Linked DNA regions of Mus musculus: regions 1 and 3 are each reported to be linked to region 2. The links are microRNA targets in miRTarBase. Many come from high-throughput screens and were not tested one by one. Region 2 holds a microRNA gene; each other region holds the end of a gene's coding sequence.
Evidence for each region. Region 2 holds the annotated microRNA mmu-miR-743b-5p (UGUUCAGACUGGUGUCCAUCA, at 1,749-1,769, opposite strand). A microRNA usually pairs through its seed, bases 2 to 8, with sites in the 3' UTR of a target mRNA and lowers its output. Matches are read on the target gene's strand: a 7mer-m8 pairs with bases 2 to 8, a 7mer-A1 pairs with bases 2 to 7 and ends in A, and an 8mer does both.

Region 1 (4,386 bases), not on the chromosome of region 2:
CAATTAGACCCCATTCATAACCTGCTTTGGGGGCAAACAGCAATATATCAGAGCACCGCCTACACCCCATGAAAATGTTGTTTTCTTTGTATATTTATATTTGGGGGACTCATGTAGTTATCCCTAGCTTATATGCTTGGAGACAGCTCTTTGACTATTCGAAATATAGTTAGATAATATAGATAAAACCTGGTGTGAACTGGAAACTCTGTGTGCAAATGATAGACTTTCTTTTTCCCATTTAGGACAAGTGACTTGAAAAGTTTAAAAAAAAATGACAGGGGGAAAAAAGAGCAAAATCAAACAACTTTGATTTGTGCAAAGTGTTTATGTTTAGTCTTGTCAGGACTGTGCCAACAAGAAAATCACAACATGTAAGGGAAGAAGAAAAAATAATCAATTTTGGCCAAACGGCAAGAATTATTTATCTTTACCATTAAATGCATATGTTCCCATGCACCTCTGGTGAGCCAGACTTGCTGGTCCCAGTCCCTCTATCTGTGCTCCTTCGTCAGAAGCTTAGAGTCCTGTTCAGAAAGCTCCTATGTGCTCTCAGTGTGTGTGTGTGTGTGTGTGTGTGTGTGTGTGTGTGTGTGTCTCTGTCTGTCTGTCTGTCTGTCTGTCTATCTCTCTATCTTTCTCTCTCACTGTCCCTCTTTCTCACTTTTTTTCCTTACTAGCTCAGCCTATTAGGAAACTAAGATCTGTGAGGAGAAAAAATAAGATGTCATAATTTGTATTAATATTAAATATTGTTACTGACTATATGGTGTCAATCTCCTGCCTCTCAGAATAGAATTCCTGCCTCCAACTCCCTTGTTCAGAAATCAAAGAGAATGCATTTTGTATTTCATATCCAAGCTCCAAGACATGGGACCCAGTTAATCTGTACACTAAGAAACGGAACAGAATCAAAAAAAATGCAGTTTATTATTGTAGATTATTCTTTCTCTTGATATAACCAGAATTGAAAATGAAAGAGAAGCATGTAGAACGTCACGCGTGGTTAGTTAGTAACTCAAGTTATAAAACAATTTTGCACAGCAAAATATGTAAAAGAAAAGTAACTGACAAGATTTCTTATATTTATTGTGGTAAGATTTCCTTTCCTTTTCTTTCTTTCTTTCTTTCTTTCTTTCTTTCTTTCTTTCTTTCTTTCTTTCTTTCTTTCTAAGACAGGATGTCAGTCCCTGAAAATAACATTTACTGGTTATTGCCTTTAAAACTGTGGATTTTTTTAAGTTACAGAAAATCCAGTTCTGCACCACAACATAACTGTAAAAAATCTGCATCACTTTAAAACTGTGCAGTAATGCCATTTTATAACTGCATAAATTTTATTAGCGTTCTAAACAGTTTTTGCGATTTTTTTTTGTATTATATGCTTGCAGGTTATATCTTAGTGCAATTCAGTCCCAAATACTTTAATTTTGGAAAAAAACATACATTTTGAATGTAAAATACCCCTACAGATATAAACAGGGGCATTTCCCCTTTTAATACTTTGGTTTTCAATACAGTCCATGGTATAGCAAGAACTACACATACCCAACTTATATTTAAGTTGCAAGCACATGCTTCAGAAAGCTACTTTTTAAACAGTCCCCTTGCAAACTCTACCCCCCTTAACATCACAACAGTAAACAATTTAGTGCATCGGTCTTTAAAAAAATCTACAGCTACACAGACCTAACTCTTTCAAATGTATCTATAACATTCCTTTATCTGTAGCATACATTTTAACTGGGCTAACAGATTATAAAATCTAGAATTAAATTATATACTAGAAACCCATAGCATTCCACATTTGACAATGACCAAAAACCAAAAAAATTAAAAAAAAAATAGAAAAAATAAAATAAAAAAAAATAAAACCAACCAAAAAATAATTGGGGCAGATTTTTTTTTTCTTTCTTTTCAAAGAAAATTTAGACTGCTTTTGGCAATAGCACAATTTAAAGTGCCCCAAAGCAGGCATCATTGTTTCTAAAAAGAAAACATTTAATTTACGTTCTATAATATTTGCCATATAAATTTGTAGCCCATTCTGCTATCTTTGACAAGGAACGCCTTCAGTGCATGTACAACGGGAGGCTGAAGTTCATTGTAACTCAAAGCAGTCAGGAGTAGAAGCAAACTGTCAAGGGAAGAAGGCTCTGGGGTTGTACTTTTTCTGTTGTTGTTTGGAACTCAAAAAAGTCATGAGGCTGTAAATCAAAAGTATGGATGTCATGCGCTAAGTCTTCAAAAGTCCATTTCCAAGCCAAATTGGGGGGAAAAAAAAGGAAAAAAATAATTATACCATACATGTCCAGCATGCAGGCTTCTTTTATTAATATAATGTCTCTTTTCCATAATGTCTTTGAAACTGTTATAGTTCATTGTTGCTAAGACAAAGTAGCAAGCATCGTAATGCATGAGATGAGAGTAAGTTTGTTTTTGTGTTTTTGTTTGTTTGTTGTTTAATGGCAGACTAAACTTTCAGATTTGGCATCATAAGGCCAAAACTCACAAGTCACACCCAGAAGGTTGATGTAGGCTTGATTGTGGCAGGTTCAGGAGTGGCTTTAGTTCATTCTGTTTTAGCATAACAATGCTAAGATAAAACCCCCGTGGAACTCAGCTCGCTGCAAGGTCTATAGCATTTCACATTTTTTTTTCCTTTGCAAGCTCAATCAGAAGAACTCAGAAGGAGGGGAAAAAAAAACCCTGCTTTTTTTTTTTTTCCTTTTATCTCAAGAACATGGTGCAGGGGTGGGGGTGGGGGGTGGCAGAGGCTGGGAAACACAGCAAGCTCCAAAAAATTAGTAATAGTAATAATAAACAAAAACAAAGAAGAAGAAGAAGAAAAAAGAAAATCCAAACAAAATAAAACACACAAACACACACACACAGAATGAACACCAGCTCATGAGCTGAAGAAGAAGAAGAAAAAATATATATACAGGCAATTGATGGCCCGGTTCAAAGGTGAGCTATGCCCTACATGAAGTATGCTGCTCAGATCTTTGACCCTTGTGCAAGTCCAGGGTATGTGTGGGGCAGGCGGTGTAAAAAGAGTAGTAGTTGTAATAATAATAATAATAATAAAAAAGAACAAAACAACCAAGCTAGCAAGTTACGGGGGAATTCAGGTTGGCAATCCATGAGCCAGACACCCTTTCCCTCCCCAATTCAAAAGAGCCATCACCACCACCACAAGCTTGGTGTGTGTGTGTGTGTGTGTGTGTGTGTGTGTGTGTGTGTGTGTGTGTGTGTCTGTTCAGGGCCAAGGGGAGCAAACTCGCCAGGGGAGGGGGCGAGGTGGTGGCCGAGCGAGCTTGGCCCTGCAACTAGCAAGCCCACTCAGGAGCGGGACCCCCACGGAGCATTTAACAAGGTGGCTAGCTGGGATCGCGTGTCACACTCACATGAAAAATTCGGGAGAGGAAGGGTTGTCGCTGCTCGAGCCGTTTTCTCGGAAGCCGTTGCTCACCAGCTTCTCGTATTTCTCCTTGTAGGCGTCCCTTTCGCGCACCAGCCTGGAGATCTCCTGCTTGAGGTGGTCTACCTGCTGCAGCAGCTGGTTCTTCTCCGACTCCAGGACGTGTCTCTGCTGCACCCTCTTGAAGCGGCAGGACTGGGCATAGCCGCGGTTTTTCAGGGTCCGCCTCTTCTGCTTCAGTCGGATCACCTCCTCCTTGCTGACCCCGCGCAGCTGCCGGTTCAGCTCGCGCACCGACATGGTCACCAACTGCTCGTCCGAGAAGCGGTCGTCGAAGTGCAGGCCGCCCGCGGCATGGTGCGGGTGCAGGGCGCCCCCCGCCCCCGCCGTGCCCCCGCCGCCGCCTCCGCCGCCGCCGCCCCCGGCGCTGGCCGGGCCACCGCCGCCCGCGCCACCCGCGCCGCTCGCAGAGGCAGACGCGCCGCCCGCGGCTCCCGGGGCGCCGGCCGTCGGATGGTGGTGGTGCCCCGCGGCGTGGTGGTGGTGGTGATGGTAGTGGGGTGCCGCGCCGCTCTGCGCGGCGGCCGCGGCGATCACGGCGGACACCACGGCGGCGGCGGGGCCCATCTCCTCGCCGCTGCCGCCCAGGGAGGCGCCGGCGCCGGCCCCCGCTGCCGCGGCCAGCTGCTGCGCTCCCCGCGCATAGCCATCGAAGCCACCCTGGAGCTGGTGGCTGTTGCTGATGAGCGCCTCGACCGCGTCCTCCGGGCTGAAGCCCAGCGCCTCCGGGTTGAGCTGCTGCGGGTAGCCGGTCATCCAGTAGTAGTCTTCCAGGTGCGCCTTCTGTTCGCTGCCCGAGCCCGGGCTGGGCGCCGAGAAGCTGGGGGACGGGGGCACCGAGCTGCAGGGCGTGCTCATGGGGGTGGAGGACAGCGAGCCCCCGGCGATGAGACGGCCGCACT
Region 2 (4,386 bases):
CTCAATTATATTTTGTAGGTATTCTCTGTCTCTCCTCTCTCTCTCTCTCTCTCTCTCTCTCTCTCTCTCTCTCTCTCTCTCTCTTTATGTGTATAATGTGTTTCTTGGGCATTTTAAATTATTCTTTATTCACTCATTTATCTTGCTGATTTTTCTAAAGGAAGATAAAGAAATCTGGTAGTGAAGGTGGGGAGGATCTCAGAGAAGATGGGGGATGTGAAATTGTGGTCAGGATATATCTTAAACATTTTCAGAAAAAAAGAAACAAAACAAATGTAGAAGTGCTGACTCTATCAACTCTATAACCTCTAATAATATTCATCACTTGTACAAGTTATGACATCAGGAAGGATGCCTGAACCCTGAACACACCTAGGGAATGCAAAACTCATTATACATCACCTTGCATATATAATTTGACATCTTCTTCCTGCATTCCAATAAGATGAATAACTCTGAGTACCAATAACTGATCATCACTCTCAGCTTAATACCCTTTCCTTCATTCTTGCCAGACCACGTGCCAAACTTAGGGCCTCAAGCATACAATCTAATTATTCTAAAGACTGTGCTTTAGGCTCTTAAAAGTATGTTTTTTAGCACATAAATAAATTGAATTTTCCTTCTGTATTTTATCGGACCTATGTGAATTTTTGAATAACAACAACAACAAAAAGCATGAAGGTGACAACAACACCATTAAAAACCCTGAAGGTGTCCTAGGGCCCAGAAAAGTCAAAGAACACCATAATCAGAAATGCTAGGATATTTGTACTTATACAAAAATCACTATGCTAAAAGTAATGAGACAGCTTGTTAGACTTATTCTACTCACACAGAAGAACTGGTTAACAGTTTAAGCAAATATGGCTCTGTATAGAATTTTAGCATGTAGGGCGGGCCTCAATCATGTCCTAATAGTATCCTATTTATCAATCTGCCTTAATGAGTATAAAACCTTAACATATATCATATTTATTCCTATCTTAGGGAATATTCCTTGTACATAACATACTATGTCCTACTATATGGTTGACTGCCAAACTTTGTGTTAATTCTCCAATCTATATGCGGCTATAAAGTTAACACTGGGAATCAAAATTGTACTTAGGTAACAGATTAGGACTGGTTACATTTTGTGTAACTACAGATAAAACACCCTGACCACATAATACCACCTGCAATGAAGAACACAATAAGCCCTACTCTACTCAGCTTGGTGTCTTTCATTCTTATAAACATGACAGGCACCAATCTGAATACAGCACTGCATACAAGAACTTTAATGAGAATGCTCTGCCCCAGATCCTTCATCTACATGTCACACAAATCATTCTGCCCCACTCAACATGAAAACTCACTTCTGTTTATATGTATATATTAGAAAACATTCCTACAGTAGGCTATGAGTTTCTAGTTCTTCACTGTATACTATGTCCTGGTCTCTATTTACAGTGTTGATTCTCAAATCTACATAGATAAAAGATGTATCATTTGTTGATTGTGGGTTTAGTTTCTTCTAAGTATTTTTTTCTTTAACCTACATGTTATAATTGTGTAAAAATTGAACATCTAAAATTATACTCTGGATAAATATGGATCCTGAGGGTTACATATGACTAATTACAATGAGGGATTCATGTCAAGTGTAACTGCACTGCACCACTCTGACCAATTAAGGCATAATAAATGAAGAATATCATGGGCCTTACTCTATTCAGCATGATGTCTTTCACAAATATTTCACATGATGGACACCAGTCTGAACACAGCACTGCACACAACATACTGCCCTCTCCCACTCCTATTTCAGTGTCCTGGACAAAAAGTTAAGTACTAGTTGCATGCTTTGCATCAGTATGACTGATGCTTCATCTTTTTTTCTCTACCATGTAGTAATAACCATCATATTTGAGGATCCTGTCTAAATTCACCTTGAGGATGTATGCTGTGAAGATAAATACAGTATATACTAGTTTTCATGAGCCTTCATCAATTCTTGTAGTCTAGTGTGATAGGTGAACACTAGATTTCTTTATTCACAGGTCCAGGAAATGACAAAATCCTTCACCTTTCATTTCTCCTTCTGAATGTTGTGATCCCAATTTTTTATCTCATTTTGCTGATATTAAATATCCATTAATAATAAACATATTACTTTTATAATTGCACTCTCTGACCATTTTGAGGCATGTGTACAACCTTAAGCACCTTTTAAGTCTAAAAAAGTGGGGCTTTAAATGAGAAATGATGAAAATGGTAGCAATCTCAAGGATGCCTTTGAAGACGAAGTATAAGGTCCAGGGTATACAAAGTAAGGAGCTTGTTGAACATTACTCACTCTGAGAGACCATGTGTACACGCACTTAAGTCTCACTGACATTAATGTGTATAGGGATTGACACTAAAAAGCTTTCAGGAGAAATAGTACTCAGCAGAGAAGAGCCCACCAACTGCTTTTCCATGGTCAGCACTGAAATAACATACATAAAACTTTCAAAATATGGACTAAGCAGGGCATGAATGAGAGAGAGAACAAAGGGGTTAGTTGATTAGAGTGGCTGAAGGGAAGAAACGAAAGGGGAGAATTATAAAATATTTTAATTTAAAAAGCACTTAAAAATTAAAATGAAACTAAACTTATTTTCCATAGTGCTATGTCCCTAATTTTAAATATTTTCACCTATGAGAAATAGGAATTAGATGAAAGGTTCCCCCTATATCTTCACCTAAACAATGTCCTGTGAAGGTAGCTACAATCGATCTTAGAATCAGAAAATACTCTTGCATGTGCATCTATGTTCTTACATTTACAATGACAGTACTTTATGAGTATCCTTATATTGAGAGAGATACCCCAAACTGTTTAAACTGTTTAAACCCTTTTCTTAAAGAGACTTCCTCCACTGCCAGAGATCTTGAATAGCCTCCTGGTCAGTCATCCGGAAACAATTCTTCACATAATTAATGAACTTGGCTTCCACTTTGGGAAGAGAACCGCCTTTTTCTATACTTGCTTGCATTTTTGCCTTAATGTCTTCTACAGAACTAGGTCCTTTTGGTGTTTTAGGAGTCTTTTCCTGTTTTTTGAAGGACTCTTGACCCTTTGATCTCGGTGTTGACGGTTTTAAGTCTTTTCCATTTTGGTTTGATTTTTGTGCATTTTTGGCTGGGGTATCTCGTACAGATTTCTTCACTGGGACCTTTTCTTCAGTTTCCTCTTCATCAAAATCATCATCATCATCATCCTCATCATCCTCATCATCGTCCTCATCATCTTCATCAAGTTTTACTTTTTTCTGTATCCTTATATTGAGAGAGGTTAGTAGAAAGTGACTGGTATCTGTCCTATATCACAATGCACACACCAAAATGAATGGAGACATATCATCTCATCTGACTCTTGCATTACCAAGAAGTTTCAGGAGTCCTTAACTCAAGTTCTTAGGGAATATATATACTCTCCTTCACTTTCTATCTCTACCACTTCTGGATCAGAGAGATAAAAGTCCTTTAACTTTATTTAATTACTGGGAAGGAAATTATTTTTTTTTTCTTTAGATTATCTTCTTTCTTTACATTCTCTATTTTGAAAGTACCCATGAGGTGAAACATGGATAGTCTACACTATGTTGAAAAAGTAAGGATATGGGGCAACAAAGACTCAAACCGTTTCTGTGTTTAGTCTTTCATTAACACAGTGTACCTCATTTTCTTTTTATGAAAGCATAATTCTTAATTTTAGCACCTTGTTCTCCTTTTCCTTACCTAACATAGATGCTTGAATGCTGTCCCATGAAAGTGATTAAAAAGATACACACAATTGTATAGTAAGGCTTTGTGATCATCCTGAAAACCATTATCAGTGATCTTACATGGAAAGCACTAATACTACCTAGAACCTATCAAAAATAACTGAATTAAAGAGCAGTACTTTACCTGGAAGATTTGTCGGTAGTCCAACTGTCTAACAGCTTCTTGAGTGAGATATAACATAAAGCATGAAGATATGGAGGTATCATCCATGTAGGCTAATCATCCCAAGCAGTTTTCATCACTTCACCAATTACAGCATGACATATTAACATTGATTTATTTATTTTCAACTGTTTGGGAATACAAAATATACTTTGTCACCTTGCATGATAAAGGAAGACCTCTTGACCTATAGCCAGATAGCCAGTGTGACTTTAAGATTAATCAGTGATATACTTTGCAAATGACTTTTAAAAACTAGGTAATGAAAATCTTCTAAAAGAATCAGAATATTGGGAGCATAGGATGAGAATACAACACAATTGTACCTGTATATCGCTGTTCAATTACTGGAGAAAGTTACAGAATACAGAAGATAGGAACTTGGTCTATTTAAATTCAAATCACTGA
Region 3 (4,386 bases), not on the chromosome of region 2:
GCGGGGCTCAGCAGTGCCTCAGCTCCTGGCCCAAGAAGCAGGGGAGCTTTGCCTTTCACTGAGATTAGCTGTGCGGAGGTTCAGGATGCTGATGAGACCAGCTGTGATTCTCTGTACTGATGGCTATGTTTGCAGATACAGCCTTAGTCCATTTCCTTTTCTGATGTGAAATTTTGCTTTTGCTTGTCACAGGAAAAGGTGGCTCAGGGACTGAAGGAGGGCCAGTTAAGCAAGCAGAAGTGCTCCTGCGCCTTTCAGAGCCTCCTGCCCCTCTACGGCCCTGCAGTGAGTATGGGGAAATGATAGCATAGCTTCCGGGATTTAATGCTGTATGGCAGAGCTGGCATAAGGGGGCTTGACAGCAAGGGGGAATTAATAAAACGCCAGTGAGCGACCTACAAGGAAGCAGTGGGAGTCTAACAGCCGGGAGTGAAAGGAACTAACTGGCTAGGGTCGTCACTTCTAGGCTTGTCACTGGAGTATTTCAAGTGACCTGCGGGAGGTCTCTTGGCTCACACTGTTTGTATTGAGTCATTGGAAGGGCAGGAGGATGTTTTCATAGGTAACCATGGATGTCTTTAAAAAACACCTTTTCCTCTACTGTAGACATTGGTTCTTTGTGTGACTCACAGGTGGAAGACTTCGTTAAAGTCGTACGTGAGGTCGATGAGGCTCTTGCTGATGACCTAGAAGACAGCTTCCCAAGTGTGAAGGCACAGACTTAAGACCCAAGTTGGAGCTTCTGCTGTCCAAGGAATAAACTTTGTGTTTTCTATGGTTCGAAGTTGGCATCGGGATGATGGTGTGAATGAACATTGTATCAGACCTTGATTTCGTAGTCTGCCCTGATGCCCGTCTCCTCCCACTTGTGTTTGTACCAGACGCTGGTTTACCACTGTCACCCCCCTCTCCTCTGCATTGAGCGCATGTTACTGATGCTTGGTTGAAGAAGAGGAAATCCAAGCTTGTTGTCACAGTTAAGGTGCTGCTGGGAAAAGACCCCATGGCCATGACAACTCTTACAAAGGATGACGTTTAACTGGGCCTGGCTTCCAGGTTCATTATCCTGGAGGGAAGCATGGCAGGGTGCAGGCACCGTAAGGCTGGAGAAGGAGCTGAGAGCGCTACATCTTGATTTGCAGGCAGCAGAAGGCACACTGGGCAAAGCTCTAGCCTAGGAGACCTCAAAGCCTGCCCCCTACAGTGACACTTACTCCAATAAGGCCACACATCCTAGTAGTGCCAGTCCCCATGGGCTATGCATTCAAGCACCCGAGTCTATGCATCACCATATTTGTCAGAGCAAAGGTTCTTTTTCCAATATTGAGTTGTAAGGTTGTCTTCATAATCTTTACTTGGGCTTTTATGTGAGAATTTTGTATTCATTACAAGTACATTTAGTTGCAGTGACAGAAACTCCTCATATGGTAGCTTCCTCCAGTATCCTTGTGTATTTCATACAATATATGCAGAGACAAGTGCAGACCGGGGAACCGTCTGCCTCCTTTCCCTGTCTCAGTGGCCTACCATGCAGACCTTTGCACACACACACTTATTTGTAACAGTGAGGCCTGCGCTGTGTCTTCCATCCACATTCAGGGGTGAAACAAAAGAGGCAAAGAGGCGCTCTAGGAAGTTCTGCCAGCCTTCCCTGACCTCCTCTGTTATGCGTTGTATCTAAAGTCCAGGTCCTGCTCACTCTCCATAAGAGGGAAGGTGTAACTAACTTAGGCTTGGAGAGCCAGCCTGCTAGCATACAGTAGCTGCTCTGAGCCTCAGGTGTGCTAGCTCTCAGCATCAGCTGTGTGGACTCCTCCAGATTGTCAGTAACAACCTGGAAGCAGTACTTCCTGTGCCGTGGTTCCACTTGCACTTTCCTGTTTCACAGACGGAAGAGAGACAGACACTGGCGTTCAGTGTGAGTGCGTTGGCGAGACTGTTTTCAGCATGAGTCGGCAGTTGTGCTTCAGAACATGATTTGCTTGAGAAGATTTTAAGTAAGATGAGGGACTGCCACAGCCTCTCTCGTCTGTGACTCCCTGGTGCTTCCTCGCTGTCCCCAGTGCTTCTTGATGAAGACATTCCTGGAACCATCCAGGCACTTAGCATCCAGTCTGCATTACTTCACACACCAACCAGAATTCTTTCTCGTTTAAAGAGATTCTCAGTTACCACAAAGCCAGCTTTATAAACCCATTCCAGTTTCCCCCAGAATCTTTTTTAACGTAAGGGATTGGTCTCCATTTATACTTTTCCTTAAACGATTTTTATTGATAAAACACAGATTCTGTATTGGGGGGATAAGAACTCACTTTCTGATCTCTAGATGTTGCTGAAAAGGATTGGAGAACAGGAGCGCACACTCAAACTTGACCTGAGTGGCGGATTTACCTTATATACCTTCCTGTTCTTGGGGCTAACTGTAATGCTAGACTGTAAGGTTATGTGTTTGTAGTTAGGGACCAGCTCTTATGTGTGCCACACTGGATAGGAATTCCGAATCCTGTGTCCTCTGTGACTGACTCGGGGTTTCAGCAGCGTGTTGAAGTCACTCATGCTAAGACGAGGTGTTGTCTCATGTAGAAGATGAAGCCTGCTGCACACGGAATAGCACTTGGATCTCTTGCTTTTGCTTACCGTTGTGCATGCATGTTTCATGTTGCTTTTATGAGAACACACTTTGAGAACACAAGGACTTCTCAGGGTGAGGCTGCCCCTCAGAGGACAAGTTCTAGAGGGAGAGGAAAAAGGGTGTGGCGTAAGGGCCAACATGCTGTTTCCTGCTTCTTGATTCTGGCTGGCCCCTTACTATTTACTCTGTTGGTTCTGTTTTTCAGGCACTACAAACTTCACATTGGTTTGATATGCATGAAAACATCCTGAGTCTGTAAAACTAGAGAAATGTAAAAGAAAACATGGTCAGGGCTAAAACTTGAGTGCTCTGTGATTCAAGGAAGTAACACACCAATGCAGCACTTGAATCCACTGCGGCCATCTTTAAGGCTGGCACTCTGTAAGCAAAACATGAACCTGGGGAGTTCGTGGGCACATGCATCCTGTGCTACATGCAGGTGCGGGAGGGAGAGAACTTAAAAGAAGAACAAGAGTTAGCAAACCTGCACACGTGTAAATACCTGAATTTCAGTCCAGTTTCTAAGGAATCTGATCATCTCAAAAGAAGAGACGTTTTTCTTGCTTTTTGTTAAGGATATTTTGTATCTGAGAGCTGAGGTCCAACTCCACTCTCCTGGGCTCTTATTTTATTTTTCTTTCATTGCTTTGTCTGCTCTAGCTCCTTCGATTTAAAAGGGTTTTCCCCTCCACCTTTAATATTTCTCATTGCTTTGACTTTGACTTGGGTTACTGACCTTGAAAACGCTGGCATATATATAAATGGGGAAAGGTTGATAAGCTACCCTCGGCATATACACTTCTGATGAAGTACATGCAGAAACCATCTGCAGACATGGAGAACTAGCCTGTATCTGGCGCTCGGTACATCTTCAGCGAGCAGCATTTTCTCTCTGTAGAGTTGAGCTGTGTGTATGCCAGCGAAGAAATCACTGAAGCAAAGGAAGTGAGTGCTACCTGCTCTAACCGGTGTTCCTGCTCGGTAGCCTAGTTCTTAAAAGGGAAGTTTCATACTGACAGAGGGCTAAACTGTCAGACGGTTCAGCAAAAGGAAACCAGGTAGACATTTCTCTGAACTAGCCTTTTTCTATATTTTTCTTAGTGCTAGTCCAAGATGGTGACTAAATTGTTGTCTTGGCTTTTACTCTAGGCCTGTCTGGCCCCAAAGCCTGCCCCTCATCACTATACAACACTAGTAGCCATGGGTAGTCATGGGTCAGCTCTGGAGGGCTTTTTAAAGGTATTTGCCTATCCATGTACCTGTCTCTGAGCTGCCTATGTTCTCCCCTGTTAGCATGTCTGACTGAGAAAGGAAGTGATGTCTGAGCAAAGCTGGGTGAAGAAAGACCAAAAAAAAAAAAAAAAAAAAAGGTCGGCTCAGGACATCTAGATTCTACATCACAAAGTCATAAGGCTGGGGGTCTGATTTGGGGCAGCCAGTCAGTCATTGATTGTCTACTATGAATCCTTTGACACCAGAAGACAGAAGAATAAACAGGCAGCATTAGGACACTACCACAGTGGGTGGAGCGGACAGAAATCTTGCCCCAGTGAGGCTCTTATTCATAAGGTATGGTGTAAAGATGCAGGATGATGCTTCCGGCTGCACAGAGGGACAGAGGAGCTTAGGCAACTGGAGGCAGGTCACTGTACTGTTCACCTCTCTCTGTGGCCTTGCTGTGAATGGCCTTGCTGAATGGAGCCTGCTTTCCTGGCCCTTCACTTTGAGCCGGACCAAGTCATTAGTCAACAGGA

Region 1: miRTarBase lists Maf as a target of mmu-miR-743b-5p. Seed matches in the 3' UTR shown: 7mer-A1 at 3,260-3,266.
Region 3: miRTarBase lists Saal1 as a target of mmu-miR-743b-5p. Seed matches in the 3' UTR shown: 7mer-m8 at 3,702-3,708.

What each region holds. Positions count from the first base shown.
Region 1 is chr8:115,702,345-115,706,730 of GRCm38, forward strand. It overlaps Maf (avian musculoaponeurotic fibrosarcoma oncogene homolog), which reads right to left. Exons shown (of 1, transcript NM_001025577.2): 1 at 909-4,386. The coding sequence ends at 3,407. Among named protein-coding and RNA genes, the nearest start is that of Maf, 2.4 kb to the right of the region's middle.
Region 2 is chrX:66,775,554-66,779,939 of GRCm38, forward strand. Mir743b (microRNA 743b) reads right to left here and starts at 1,779; the gene lies at 1,703-1,779. Mir743 (microRNA 743) reads right to left here and starts at 1,265; the gene lies at 1,204-1,265. It also overlaps the pseudogene Gm14681.
Region 3 is chr7:46,685,702-46,690,087 of GRCm38, reverse strand. It overlaps Saal1 (serum amyloid A-like 1), which reads left to right. Exons shown (of 12, transcript NM_030233.1): 11 at 193-285; 12 at 633-3,980. The coding sequence ends at 725. Among named protein-coding and RNA genes, the nearest start is that of Tph1, 21 kb to the right of the region's middle.